Stegostoma tigrinum: one gene and its partner. Each later gene encodes a partner of the first gene's protein in a complex. Links are inferred from orthologs where the notes say so. Each region holds a gene or a part of one and is shown on either strand. Other genes may lie near its edges.

Evidence for each region.
Region 2: pigc (region 1) and pigp share a complex: the UniProt entries of both Homo sapiens proteins name them as parts of the glycosylphosphatidylinositol-N-acetylglucosaminyltransferase (GPI-GnT) complex. The link is inferred for Stegostoma tigrinum from reciprocal best matches to the Homo sapiens genes PIGC and PIGP.

What each region holds. Positions count from the first base shown.
Region 1 is NC_081387.1:9,166,609-9,174,517, forward strand, and holds the start of pigc (phosphatidylinositol N-acetylglucosaminyltransferase subunit C), read right to left. Parts: upstream 3,019-7,909; 5' UTR 2,969-3,018; coding exon 2,791-2,968; intron 29-2,790; coding exon 1-28. UniProt on the Homo sapiens protein: Part of the glycosylphosphatidylinositol-N-acetylglucosaminyltransferase (GPI-GnT) complex that catalyzes the transfer of N-acetylglucosamine from UDP-N-acetylglucosamine to phosphatidylinositol and participates in the first step of GPI biosynthesis.
Region 2 is NC_081365.1:19,225,263-19,232,951, reverse strand, and holds the start of pigp (phosphatidylinositol N-acetylglucosaminyltransferase subunit P), read right to left. Parts: upstream 3,015-7,689; 5' UTR 2,970-3,014; intron 1,596-2,969; coding exon of another isoform or gene 1,548-1,595; intron 62-1,547; exon of another isoform or gene 1-61. Other genes in the region: SH3 domain-binding glutamic acid-rich-like protein 3, read left to right, coding at 1,548-1,595. UniProt on the Homo sapiens protein: Part of the glycosylphosphatidylinositol-N-acetylglucosaminyltransferase (GPI-GnT) complex that catalyzes the transfer of N-acetylglucosamine from UDP-N-acetylglucosamine to phosphatidylinositol and participates in the first step of GPI biosynthesis.

The sequences.
Region 1 (7,909 bases):
GTCCATACCTGGTACTGGCGCACATAAACTAGAACAGAAAACAGAACTTATGGTGACAAAATCATAGGAACATGGGACTTTGGGCCAAGAGTAGTACATTCACCCTTTTGAGTTTCCTAAGTCATTCTTTACTCAGAGTAGTAAGGGCGTGGAATGCCCAGCCTGCAACCGTAGTAGACTCGCCAACTTTAAGGGCATTTAAATGGTCATTGGATAAACATATGGATTATAATGGAATACTGTAGGTTAGATGGGCTTCTGATCGGTTTCACAGGTCGGTGCAACATCGAGGGACGATGGACCTGTACTGCGCTGTTATGTTCTATGTTCTACAAGATCAGGGCTGCTCTGATTGTGATCTAACTCCACTTTCCTGTCCACAATGCTACCCTTTCCACCTTCCTCCCAGTCCTCACCTCTTGTGAATCTAAACTCTATCTAACTTAGCCCGAAATAACGTCAACTCCTATACTCTGTTCTACAGCCTTCTGGACTCAATATTGAGTTCAACTATTTTAGGACTTGAGGCACCTTCTCCTCCGTCCTTACCACAAGCCCTGGACATGAGGCCTTGTTATCACATGGGCTACTATTACAAACAACCCATCATTGATAACTATTCGTCCTCCTAGGCTGATCATTATCTGCACTTACCTAATACCGTCAAAATTGGCCTTTCTCCAATTTAGAACTTTAACGCTTATGTGGTCTATCCATTTCCATCACTATTCTAAAATGAATAGAATTATGGTCACTGGAAGTCCCATTCTATTCTTTTTTCTTTATTCATTCATGGGGGTGAGGGTATTGCTGGCCAGGAAGCATTGATTTCCCATCCCTAATTACCCAGGGGGCAGTTATGAGCCAACCACATTGCTGTGGATCTGAAGTCACATGTAGGCCAGACAAAGTAAAGATGGCAGTTTCCTTCCCTGTAGGACATTAGTGAACCAGATGGGTTCTTCTGACAATCGACAATGGATTCATAGTCATCATTATTCTTAGATTCCCCTCCCCTTCCCCCTCATTCACCGAACCCCCTCCCCTTCCCCCTCCCTCACCGATCCCCCTCCCCCTCCCTAACCGATCTCCCCTACCCCCTCCGATCCCGCCTCCATTTCCCCCTCACCAAACCCCCCGCTCCCTCCCTCACCGATACCCCTCCCCCTCCGAACCCCCCTCCTCCTCAGATCACCCCTGTCCCTCCCACTCCGATCCCCCTCCACTTCCCCCTCTGATCCTAACACCTCCCTCACCGATCCCCCTCCCCCTCCCTCACCGATCCCCCCTCCCCCTCCCCCTCCCTCACCGATCCCCCCTCCCCCTCCCCCTCCCTCACCGATCCCCCCTCCCCCTCCGAACCCCCCCTCCCCCTCAGATCCCCCCTGTCCCTCCCACTCCGATGCCCCCTCCACTTTCCCCTCTGATCCTATCCCCTCCCTCCCCTTCCCCCACCGATCCCCCCTCCCCTTCCCCCTCCGACCCTACCCCCTCCCTCACCAATCCTCCCTCCGCTTCCCCTACGATACTCCTCCCCCTCAGATCCCCCCGTCCCTCCCACTCCGATGCCCCATCCACTTCCCCCTCCGATGCCCCATCCACTTCCCCCACCGATCCCCCCCTCCCCTTCCCCCTCCGATGCCCCATCCACTTCCCACACCGATCCCCCCCCTCCCCTTCCCCCTCCGATCCCCCCCTCCCCTTCCCCCTCCGATCACCCCCCTCCCCTTCCCTCTCCGACACCCCCCTCCCCTTCCCCCTCCGATCACCCCCCTCCCCTTCCCCCTCCGACACCCCCCTCCCCTTCCCCCTCCGACCCCCCCTCCCCTTCCCCCTCCGACCCCCCCCTCCCCTTCCCCCTCCGACCCCCCCCTCCCCTTCCCCCTCCGACCCCCCCCTCCCCTTCCCCCTCCGATACTCCTCCCCCTCAGATCCCCCCGTCCCTCCCACTCCGATGCCCCATCCACTTCCCCCTCCGATGCCCCATCCACTTCCCCCACCGATCCCCCCCTCCCCTTCCCCCTCCGATGCCCCATCCACTTCCCACACCGATCCCCCCCTCCCCTCCGACCCCCCCCTCCCCTTCCCCCTCCGATCCCCCCCTCCCCTTCCCCCTCCGACCCCCCCTTCCCCCTCCGACCCCCCCCTCCCCTTCCCCCTCCGACCCCCCCCTCCCCTTCCCCCTCCGACCCCCCCCTCCCCTTCCCCCTCCGACCCCCACCTCCCCTTCCCCCTCCGACCCCCCCCTCCCCTTCCCCCTCCGACCCCCCCCGACCCCCACCTCCCCTTCCCCCCCCGACCCCCCCCTCCCCTTCCCCCTCCGACCCCCCCCTCCCCTTCCCCCTCCGACCCCCCCCTCCCCTTCCCCCTCCGACCCCCCCCTCCCCTTCCCCCTCCGACCCCCCCCTCCCCTTCCCCCTCCGACCCCCCCTCCCCTTCCCACTCCGACCCCCCCCTCCCCTTCCCCCTCCGACCCCCCCCTCCCCTTCCCCCTCCGACCCCCCCCTCCCCTTCCCCCTCCGACCCCCCCCTCCCCTTCCCCCTCCGACCCCCCCCTCCCCTTCCCCCTCCGACCCCCCCTCCCCTTCCCCCTCCGACCCCCCCCTCCCCTTCCCCCTCCGACCCCCCCTCCCCTTCCCACTCCGACCCCCCCCTCCCCTTCCCACTCCGACCCCCCCCTCCCCTTCCCTCTCCGATCCCCCCCTCCCCTTCCCACTCCGATCCCCCCCTCCCCTTCCCACTCCGATCCCCCTCACCCTCCTCCCCCTCCCCCACCCCGCTCCCACTCACTATTTTTCCGCAGTTCCTCCAGGAAGCTGCTGTCGACGAAGTTATCGGGGAAAGGCTGCCTCTCGTACAGGACCTTCTTCCAGCGGCCAGGCCGAGGTCGGGACCGGGACCGGGTCCGGTTGTCCGAGGCCCTGCGGCCAGAGGCAGCGGCCTCCACCGGCTCCAGGTCCGCCCTCATCCAGAGACAGAGTCAGAGTCCGGGCTGCTGGCAGCCGGTGGGGGCGGGGAGGGCCCGGGCCGGAAGTGAGCGGCCGTCTCCATGGAAACCACCTGGCGTCCGCCGGAAGTATGTACGCTTTTTTCCCCATCGGGGGCTATTCAAGTTAAAATGACAGGTTCAGCGCAAGCGTACTTCCGATATAAAATTAACTGGTTTATTTTTAAGCTGTTCGAAAGCTGACAGGGGGTCAAGGAATTGGCGGTGGTTGAGGTCACGTCCGCCATCTTTGACACTGGCGGATTTGGTCTCGGCGGGCGCCATCTTTAATATTGGCGGGTTTCTTGACATCGTGATCACCATCTTTGATGCTGGCTGATTTTTGGTGCCGTCAACGCCATCGATGCTGGCACTCCCGTTGGTCGTCTTTTTGTCCGCCATCTTTGATGCTGGCATATCACCTTTGAGAACAGAGGCGCCTAATATCCTTGCTGTTGCCCAGACACAGAGTGGGTTCACCCCATCATCTGTATCTTCGAGTACAACGTGCCCTAACCAGCACCAGCACTCGGTGATGTGCTCTTCTTTTACCTCAGCGAAGCCAATCTCCTCCCCTCCACCTGCTAGGGTTGCTGAGAGCCCCTAAATGGAGCCCAGTTCATTTCCCTCACTTTTCACTGTCACTCACCCCACCCACTCCCAACAAGGCGATTACTGAATATATTCAAGAAAGATATTAGGATTCAAAGGAGAATCAAGATGTAAGGGGAGAATCGATGATGTGACACTGCGTTAGACTATGGGTCTTGATTGCCTTGAATGCTGGACCAGGCTCATCCCTCGCTCCCTGGTACCGTGAGGCAGCAAGTGACTCCTGTGCTACCCTATTCAGCCCATTCAGTTGTTCCAGTTCTTTGGTGGAACAACTGAAGTTCTGCTAAATTTCAGGCCCATAATTTATCCATGACTTAACAGAGAATTCCCACACTCAGCAAAATTCAACCATGGTCCATTAGCTCCCACTACCAAGTAATTCTCTTTCACTTAGCCCTTGCATCCTCAAAAAGGAATGCTATATTTCTGTGCTATTGGTTTACATTTATCAGCAGTGAAAACTCACACCCATCTCTGTTGCCACGCTGTTTGGCGAGTTTGCTGATGTTACGAACGTTCTGCTTATTCTGAGTTCTGAATGTCTTTAATTGGCATCACATGCACTTTGCGATAATGACCTTTGACATGACCGAATGTAGCATTAAGATGCACAAGGTAGAAAACTCTGCACTGGTTGGAGCCATAACCTGGCACATGGGAAGTGGTTGTGTGTTGGAGATGAATCATACTAGCTCCAGGCATCTCTGCAACAGTTCATCAGGTAAGTGTTCTAGGTCAAACCATCTTAAGTGACAGAAGGGTCCAGACCTGAAACGTCAGCTTTCCTGCTCCTGTGATGCTGCCTGGCCTGCTGTGTTTATCCAACCATCTTCAGCTGTTTCATCAATGACATTCCCTGCATCATGCAGTCAGAAATGGGAATGCTTGCCGATAATTGCACAGTGTTCAGCGCCATTTGCCACTTCTCAAATACTGAAGTAGTCCATGTGCAAGCACAGAAAAATGTGGACAATATCCAGGTTTGAGCTGACAAGTGGCCAGTAATATTTGCATGATAGAAGTGTGAGGCAATGACCATCTCAAACAAGACAGACTTTAACCATTTTCCATTGACATTGAAAGATTTGGGTGCCCCCTCAACGAACTTTAGGAGCTAACACGGTGGCTCAGTGGTTAGCACTGCTGCCTCACAGCGCCAGGGACCCGGGTTCAATTCCACCGTCGTGCGACTGTCTGTGTGGAGTTTGCACATTCTCCTCGTGTCTGTGTGTTTCCTCTGGGTGCTCCGGTTTCCTCCCACAGTCCAAAGATGTACAGGTTAGGGTGGATTGGCCATGCTAAATTACCACAGTGTTCAGGGATGTGTAGGTTATGTGGGTTATGAGGGATGGGTCTGAGGGCCAGTGTGGGCTTGTTGGGCTGAAGGGCCTGTTTCCACACTGTAGGGATTCTATGATGCAGGTGAGGAGGTTACGTTGTTGGCCTCACCTTTACAGTTGGAGACGTTGAAAGTCTGGGGCCCTCTGCCACGTCTCTCGCTCCATCGCGGCATCTGGCGTCTGAGCACAATGATTCAATTGCTGAATGTGCAAGATCACAAGCCACCAACTGCAAGGAAGTGTCCACTCATGTAGCTCCACCAATGTTGGTGAGGCCATCAACTTCGGCAATGAGGGTGTGGGACATAGAACATAGAACAATACAGTGCAGAACAGGCCCTTCGGCCCTCGATGTTGCGCCGACCTGTGAGCTAATCTAAGCACCTCCCCCTACACAATTCCATCATCATCCATATGCTTATCTAAGGACTGTTTAAAATGCCCCTAATGTGGCTGAGTTCACTACATTGGCAGGCAGGGCGTTCCACACCCTTACCACTCTCTGAGTAAAGAACCTGCCTCTGATATCTGTCTTAAATCTATCACCCCTCAATTTGTAGCTATGCCCCCTTGTACAAGCTGACGTCATCATCCTTGGAAAAAGACTCTCAATGTCCATCCTATTTAATTCCCTGATCATCTTGTATGTCCCTATTAAATCCCCTCTTAGCCTCCTTCTCTTCAATGAGAACAGACCCAAGTCCCTCAGCCTTTCTTCATAAGGCCTTCGTTCCAAACCAGGCAACATCCAGGTAAATCTCCTCTGCACCTTTTCCAATGCTTCCACATCCTTCCTGTAATGGAGCAACCCGAACTGTACGCAATTTTCTAAGTGAGGCCGCGCTAGCACTGTGTACAGTTGCAGCACGACATCACAGCTCCAGAACTCAATCCCTCTACCAATAAAACCTAAAACACCGTAAGCCTTCTTAACAGCACTATCAACCTGGGTGGCAACTTTCAGGGATCTATGTACATGGACATCAAGATCCCTCTGCACATCCACACTACCAAGAATCTTTCCATTGACCCAGTATTCTGCCTTCCTATTATTCTTCACAAAGTGAATCACCTCACATTTATCAGCATTGAATGCCATTTGCCACCTTTCAGCCCAATTCTGCAGTTTATCCAAGTCTCCCTGCAATCTGAAACATTCTTCCACACTGTCCACCACTCCACTGACTTCAGTGTCATCTGCAAACTTACTAACCCATCCACATATGCCTGCGTCCAAGTCATTTACAGAAATGACAAACAGCAGTGGTCCCAAAACAGATCCTTGAGGCACACCACTAGTAACCGGACACCAGGCTGAATATTTTCCAGCAACCACCACTCGTTGCCTTCTTATAGAAAACCAGTTTCTAATCCACACTGCTAACTCTCCCTCAATCCCATGCCTCTGTATTTTCTCCAATAGCCTACCATGTAGAACCTTATCAAAGGCTTTACTGAATTCCATTTACACCACGTCAACTGCCCTTCCCTCATCCACATGCTTGGTCACTGTCTCAAAAAAGTCACGGAGGTTTGTGAGACACGACCTGCCCTTGGCGAATCCATGTTGACAATCTCCAATCAAATTGTTGCTTGCTAGATGATTATAAATCCTAGCTCTTATAATCCTTTCCACAATTTTTCCTATAACAGACGTAAGGCTCACAGGTCTATAATTACCTGGGTCATCCCTACTGCCCTTCTTGAACAAGGGCACAACATTTGCAATCCTCCAGTCCTCTGGTACTAAACCTGTAGACAATGAGGACTCAAAGAACAAAGCCAAAGGCTCCGCCACCTCCTCCCTGGCTTCCCAAAGAATCCTCGGAAAAAATCCCATTGGGCCTAGGGTATTTATCTACCTTCACACCTTCTAGAATTGATAACACCTCCTCCTGACTAACCTCAATCCTTTCAATTCTAGTAGCCCGTAACTCAGTCTTCTCCTCTACAATATTCTCCTGTTCCTCAGTGAAAACAGATGAGAAATATCGTTTAGCGCCTCTCCGATCTCCACAGGGTCCACACACAACTTCCCACTTCTGTCTTTGACTGGCCCTATTGCTACCCAAGTCATCCTCTTATTCCTCACATACCTATAGAAAGCTTTAGGGTTCTCCTTTATTCTACTCGCTAATGTCTGCTCATGTCCCCTCCTTGCTCTACTTAACTGTCTCTTTAAATCCTTCCTAGCTAATATGTAACTCGCCATTGCCTCATCTGAACCATCTTGTCTCATTGTCACATAAGCCTCCCTCTTCCGCTTAACAAGAGACACAATTTCTTTAGTAAATCTCGGCTTCCTTACCTTATCACTTCCTCCCTGCCTGACAGGGACATACCCATCAAGGACACGCAATATCTGCTCCTTAAACCAGCTCCACATTTTGATTTTCCCCATTCCCTGCATTTTGCTACCCCATTCTATGCCTCCTAAGTCTTGCCTAATCGCATTATAATTGCCCTTCCCCTATCTATAACTGTTGCCCTGTGGCATGTTCCTATCCCTTTCCATTGCTAAAGTACACAACCGAATTATGGTCACTCTCTCCAAAGTGCTCACCTACCACTAAATCAAACACCTGGCCTGGTTCATTACCAAGCACCAGATCCAATGTGGCCTCCCCTCTTGTCGGCCCTGCGACATACCGTGTCAGGAAACCCTCCTGCACACATTGGACAAAAACTGATCCATCCGAAGTACTCGAGTTATCGCATTTCCAGTCAATGTTAGGGAAGTTAAAGTCTCCCATAATGACCACCCTGTTCCTTTCACTCCTGCCCAGAATAGCTTTGCCGATCCTCTCCTCCACATCCCTGGAACTTTGCGGAGGCCTATAAAAAAATCCCAGCAGTGTTACCTCTCCTCTCCTGTTTCTGACCTCAGCCCATACCACCTCAGTAGATGAGTCCTCATCAAAAGTTCTTTCGGCCACCGTTACACCACCCTTGACTAACAAAGTCACAC
Region 2 (7,689 bases), on another chromosome or scaffold:
CCAAGTTTTCATGGAAGATGAAACTCATTGACAATTTGTAAAGGCCCATTTTGCTCCTGACCTGAAGAGTGAAGAGATAAAAGATTAGTTTATCTGGTTCAATCAAAGTTGTTGAAGAAAGAATGCTGGTCAGGACTCCAGAAATCTTGCTCATTAAGCAACCGTTTTTGTTTGGGGGGGGTGAAGCAGGTGATCGTTCTGCATGCACACAACAGACAGCTGGTGCTTCAGTATAATATCTTCACTGTAGAATGACACCCTCTGATTGTGGTGTTCTCTATCTGTGAGGTATTTAAATATCACATGCACAAAATCCAGAGCAAAACCTCAAACTTCAGCTTCAAAAGCTGGTACATGACTATGACAGTGATAATGGGAACTGCAGATGCTGGAGAATCCAAGATAACAAAGTGTGGAGCTGGATGAACACAGGAGGCCAAGCAGCTTTTGTGCTCCTGAGATGCTGCTTGGCCTGCAGTGTTCATCCAGCTCCACACTTTGTTACATGACTATGACAGAAAGGCAAGGAGCCAGAGGACCATCTCTATTCATGAAACTGTGCAGAATCAAACCATGCAGAAGAGACCCATCAGCCCATCAAGGCTGTACCGTCAGATAAACACTATTATCTACACTAATCCCACTTTCCTGTGCAAGGCCCATAACCTTAAATGTTATGACACTTCAAATGCTTATCCAAGCATTTTTAAAGATTGAGGTTTCCTGTCTCAACTACCCTCCCAGGAAATGCCTTCCAGAGCCCCACAACTCTCCGGGTTAAAACTATTTTCCTCAATTCCCGTCTAAATCTCGTGCCTTTCACTTTTAAAAAAAGCTTCTTTTTTTCCACTTTAAAACAGTCTCTCTTGGAAGCTAAAATTCTCCCTCAGTCATATCCTACCTATCCTGGTGATTAGAAGTGCACACAGTTCTTCAGTCTGTGACCTAGCCAAAGTTCTATACTGCTCCAACATGACCTCCTTGCTCTTACTATAGTTGCCTCTACTGGTAAAGGTAAGAGTCTGGTATGCTCTCTCAACCACCCCATTAACATGCCCTGCCAACTTCAGGGATCTGTGGACAAGTATCCCAAGATCCTTCTGTCTACCTGAGCTTCCTGCTCTTCTGCCATTCATTGAGTATTCATTCGCTGTGTTCCTTCCCCCCCAAGTGTACTTTTGATATCCAAATTACATCTCTCAGCCTCTGTAAAATTCCATACGTAATGCGCAATTTTTAGAATTATCAACTGCCATATTATTCCGATTCACACATTTGACTTTTAGGTGTGTTTCATAAAATGATTTAAAAATAAAGTTGTGCTCAATTCAAACAATCTGTGATATTGGTAGCCGTTTTCCAAAAGTAAGTTTTTTTAAAAAAACAATCGTATGTATGGGCAATATAGTCTGTCCTTAAAGCACATTCTCTTCGGTAGAACCTCGCAAATTCTGACGGTGAGGCAGCTTGTGTAACGGGCAGAGCCGAAGTTGGTGAGGTCGGGGTTTAGTGAAGAACAGTTGGCTTGTTTAACGCTGGGAGGAGGTATGTCCGGAGTCCAGCTGTACATCTCCAGTGTGTCAGCATCGAGAGAGGTAAATGTAGCACAGTGAACACGAACAGTCCGCCGGGGGCAGTATAACTCACTAACGTTTTCACCGAAGTATCACCTTCTTGCTAATTGTTAGAAACATGGCTTTTGATCACTGTTGACATTAACGAACTAGACTAACTAAATAACGAAACTAAATTACAGAAACTATAATTAGTTTATTCCAAGTATTTGGGTAAAGCTTCTGCCAGAATAAATATAAAATTATTCGGTGAGTTCCGTATCCCATTCAGGGGTGTATAAGATCAAATTTTTCCATTCTCATCAATTATGATTGCTTTTGAGACAGTATTAAATCTGATAAAAACGTTGCGAGGCTTCAGAAAGACATTAAAGAAAAGCATCAACCAAAATCGTGAGCCCTCCTATGCTCAGTCATTTGGCAGGAGTTGCCCAGGTCCAGTAGAACCTTCTCGAGTTTAAAACTAAACGAAGGCCCTGGGATCTCTCCCTAACGAAAGCGGGCCGTTTAACATTCACACTCTCTCAGTCCAGCACAACAACATAATCACTTCGAACTCTGGTGCACTGCAGAAATCCTTGTGTAAGTGAAACTGTGACAGTGACCCATCAAACTTAGAAATTCCCAGCTTGATCCCTGATGTAGGAGGCGAATTGATTTCAGCCCAATTGATCGTCAGTCAGTGGGGGATAACAAGGTGTAGAGCTGGAGGAACACAGCAGGCCAAGCAACATCAGAGGAGCAGGAAGGCTGATGTGTTGGGTCTGGACCCTTCAGAAATGGGGGAGGGCAAGAGGGCTCTGAAATAAATAAGGGGGAGTGGTGATAGAAGATGGATAGAGGAGCAGATAGATGGGAGATGGACAGGTCAAAGAGGTGGGGATGAGGGGGTCTGGTCTTTGGATGAGGTTGGGGGTAGTGAGATTTTGAAGCTAGTAAAGTCAACATTGAGACCATTGAGTTGTAGGGTCCCAAGGCAGAATATGAGGTGCTGTTCCTTCTGTTTCTGGGTGGCATCATTGTGACACTGGACTCCCACAGCTTCCTAGACTACACCTCCTCTCACCCATCTTCCTGCAAGAATGCGATCCCCTATTCCTAATTCCTCCAACTACACTGCATCTGCCCCCAAAATGAGACATCCCAGATATCCTCATTTTTCAAGGACCACAATTTCCCCCCAGTGGTTGAAAAAGCCCTCGACCGCATCTCTTGCGTTTCCCGCACCTCAGCCTTCACTCCCCCTCCCCGCGATAAAAACTAAGACAGAATTCCCCTTGTCCTCATGTATCGCCCCATTAACCTCTGGATTCAACGCATCATTCTCCACCACGTCCACCACCTGCAATTTGACCCCACGACCAAGGATATATTTCCCGCCCCAGCCTTATCTACCTTCCAGACGGACTGCGCTCTCTGCGACTCCCTCATCCGCTCCACACTCCCCGCTAACCCCACCACCCCCGGCACCAATCCCTGCAACCACAGGAAGTACTACACCCACTCCTACACCTCCCTCATCACGTCCATCCCAGGTCCCAAGAAAACTTTCCACATTAAACAGATCTTCACGAGCACGTCTGCTAACATGATTTATTGTAACCACTGTTCCCGATGTGGCCTCCCCTACATCTGAGAAACCAAGCAGAGGCTCGGAGTCTACTTTGTTCAGCACTTACGTTTGATTCGCGACAAACAACACCTCCCTGTCCGGAACCACTTCAACTCCCTCTTTCACTTCCCGGACAACATATCCATCCTGGGCCTCTCCTAGTGTCACAATGATGCCACCCGGAAACTGGAGGAACAGCACCTCATATTCCACCTTAGGACCCTATAACCCAATGGTCTCAATGTGGACTTTACGAGCTTCAAAATCTCCCCACCCCAACCTCATCCCAAGACCAGCCCCCTCCTCATCCCGGTCTCCTTGACCTGTCAGTCTTCCCTCCTAAGTATCCGCCCCCCCCTTCAGTGACCAACCCCCATCCCAACTTCCTCCCTCCACTCTCCTTTACTAGCTTCATTCCACATCCTTGACTTGTCCATCTTCTCTCCCACCTATCTGCCCCACTATCCACCTTCTATCACCGCCCCCCCCTCTCTATTTATTTTAGAGTCCCCTCCCCTCCTGCATTTCTGGAGAAGGGTCCAGACTCGAAACGTCAGCTTTCCTGCTCCTCTGATGCTGCCTGGCCTGCTGTATTTCTCCAGCTCCACATCTTATTATCTCAGCCTCCAGCATCAGAAATTCCTACTATCTCTGAGTCAGTAGGGAATTCTGGTTTCTGTCCAATGATTGAGAGCACTCTCCTGTATGACACAAAAGGTAACTATGAGCGCCATCTTCCCTGTGTCTCTTTTTGAAAGAACTATCCATTTTTCCCCACTCCTATCTCTTGTTATATAGTGCAGCAAAGCTTTCCGTTTTAGTTACAACTTCAATTTCAGCTCTAATTCCCTTTTTAAAAAGCTTTTTTTTACTGAACCTGCAATCTATGCAATTTGGTATGGCAGATGGGTTAAGAAGAAGCTAAGAGCCCATGGACAGAGGATCAGACAGATATTGGTGTGCACGTCCATAGATCCTTGAAGACAGAAGGTAGATAAGGTTAGGTCTGAAGGTACAGAACGGCGCTGAAAGCTTGTGTTTTCAAATAAACCTGTTGGACTATAACCCAATGTCATGTGATTTCTGACCTGATTTAGCTGTTCAAAGTATTGAGGAGTATAAATAGGATAGAGGGAAGAGAAAGAGAGTGAGAGAGACACGTCTCCCCTTAACCAAGGACCATAGTTTTAAGATCATAGGCCATAAAGACAGAAGGAGACCAAACAGCCCACAGAGTCTGGTCCACTATTCAAATGAGATCATGGCTGATCTGATAATCCTCAACTTCAGTTTCCTGCCTTTTCCTCATATCACGTGATTCCTTTATTGATTACAAATCTTAGTCTTAAATATTGTTAATGACCCAACCTCTATAGTTGTCCGTGGTAAAGAATTCCACAAATTCACTATCCTCGTAAGAAATTCTTCTTCATCTGTTTTAGAAGGGTGACTTCTTAATCCTGAAATTATGCCCTCTGGTCCCAGACATTCTGTTCAATAAGATCTTCTCTCATTCTACTAATTTCCAATGTATACTGGCCCAACCAACTCAACCTGCCCCAAAAGACAATCCTGCATATCTGGGATCAACATTCTAAGTCTTCTCTGCACTGTCTCCAATGCTAGTTTATCTTCCTTAGGTTAGGGATCAAAATTGTTCACAGTATTCCAGTTGTATTCTAATTAGTACCTTGTAGAGCTTTAGCAAGACCTCACTAGCTTTACACTCATTCCTTTGAAATAAAGGGCAACATTCTATTTGCCTTCCCAATCCCCTGCTGAACTTGGATGCTAGCTTTTTAAAACTTAAGCCCCCAAATCTCTCTATGATGTAACTTTCTATAGTCATTCTCTATTTGAATACACTTGCCAGAGTGCAGAACCTCACATTTTGCAACAACATATTCCATCTGTCTGGCAAGTTTTTGCCCATTCACTTAACTTGTCTATATCTCTCTGCAAACTCTTTGAGTCATCCTCACAGCTTGTGACCTCAGCACTGATTCCTGTGGTATTCCACTCAATACAGGTTACCACCCTGAAAATGACCCCCCTTATCCCAACTCTATACTTTATTAGTTAGCCAATCTTCTATCCATGCTAATACACCATCTCCAAAACCATGGGCTCTTGTTTGATTAAGTAGTAAGAAGCACGACATCTAGGAGGAGATTTGAGGGTCAGAGGATTGTGCTTGTGTGTAACTAATTGGCTAAAAAAAGGTGATGGAGGCCGGAACATTTAAAAAGTATCAAAATGAGCACTTGAAATGTAGCATGCATGGCTATGAGCTAAGTGCTCGAAAATGGGATGAGGCTAGTTGTTTGATGATTGGCGTGGGCATGATGCATTAAACGTCCACTAAGACTGAAAAATCCAGGTGGCAACAATTTTGCTGCATGATTTCCTCTCCCACCCCACCTACATATTACCTTTAATTCTTTTGTCATTTACAAATCTATAGCCTTGTTATCATTTGCAGTTTCTAAACTTTTGTTAATATTGAACAATCTGCTGTAAGAACAACTCCTCCAGGGCTCTTTGATGTTTTGCATAACTGACCTACTGATCCCAATAGCATTCCAGTAAATCCTCACTGTGTCTTCTAAGACCCACCATCCTTCCCAAGGCCTAATGCACAGAAGTGGCTACAGTTAGCTATCAGGTAACCTATTGTAAACAGGCTTGCGGTAACATCTTCGTTTTTGTGCTCTTTTGGTTAGAAATTAATCTCAGGCAGTTGCATAGAGTATTTGAGAAGCCACTTAAGTTATGCAGCGCATTGAATTTCTTTTCAGTTATTTCAATTTATTTATGGGATATTGGTGTCACCAGTTGGGCCTACATTTACTGCCCATCATCAATTGCCTAAGTGGTGGCAGTGGTGAGCTGCCTTCTTCAAACATTGCATCCTTAGTGTGTTACTACATCCACATTGCCATACAGGAGGTAGTTCCAAGATTTTGACCCAACAAACAAAGGAACTGCAATAGAATTCTAAGCCAGGATGGCACACAGCTTGAAGTGGAACAAAGATTCTGTATCAAAGATTAATTGTAAACAAGGTTGTAACCAGACCCTCTGCAATTTCCTCTCTTACTTTCCTCCTCCCATTGAGTCATAGAGGTCTACAGCACAGAAAAGGCCCTTCAGCTCATTGTTGTTTTTGACTGATGTAGACACTGTTATAATCCCCTTTTCCAGCATTTGGCCCATAGCCTTGTACACCTTGTCATCACAACTATACATCTAAATATGTCTAAAACGCTATGAGGATCTCTGCCTCTACCACCCTTTTTTGGGCAATGAATTCCAGATTTCCACCAACATCTGAGCGAAAAGGTTTCCTCACATCTTCTATAAACCTATTGCCCATTACCTTAAAATCATCCCCTCAGTCATTGATCCCTCTATCAATGAGGGAAGCTTTTCTCTGTCTATGCCCCTCATTAATTTACACATCTCAATATGTTACCCCACCCCCTCAGTCTCCTTGGCTCCATGGAAAACAATCCCAGTCTATCCCATCTCTCTTCCTAACTGAAACTCTCCAGCCTGAACAATATCCTGGTAAATCTCCTCCATATCCTCTCCCATGCAATCACATCTCAACAAGTTTGTCCATCTTATAATGCAGTGTTGAATCTTATGCAGTTACCCAGGTAGAGAGAAACCCAGCCAGCAATTTTGCTATCACTACATCTCAAACCCAGGTTAATTTCTGTACCATTCATCTGTCATTAGTAGCTACCACAAAAGGTGGACTTTCAAGTGGCATATTCCGAGAGCAAGTATGGTTGTGGGCACATACAGATGTGGTGATGGGGCATTGGAGGCAGTGGCTGTGGGATAATAATGGAAAACTTAATGTTTATCATTTTCCACTATCCTGAAAACACTCTTTGTCAACCAGATCAGTTTCACACATTATAATTTTGAACATATGATGGAGACATAATTTCACATGCACCCTGATAAAATTTAAACAGGAGTCATTTGCCTACATTGCCTTTGTACTTTTGTTTATCATACCTATTTGCTTGCTATTCCTACAATGGGTATTCTGTCAGGACTATTTGAACACATCACCATTTCAAAGGTGATAATGGGAACTGCAGATGCTGGAGAATCCAATATAATAAAATGTGAGGCTGGATGAACACAGCAGGCCCAGCAGCATCTCAGGAGTACAAAAGCTGGCGTTTCGGGCCTAGACCCTTCATCAGAGAGGGGGATGGGGTGAGGGTTCTGGAATAAATAGGGAGAGAGGGGGAGGCGGACTGAAGATGGAGAGAAAAGAAGATGGGTGGGGAGGAGAGTATAGGTGGGGAGGTAGGGAGGGGATAGGTCAGTCCAGGGAAGACGGACAGGTCAAGGAGGTGGGATGAGGTTAGTAAGTAGGAGATGGAGGTGCGGCTTGGGGTGGGAGGAAGGGATGGGTGAGAGGAAGAACAGGTTAGGGAGGCAGAGACTGGTTGGACTGGTTTTGGGATGCAGTGGGTG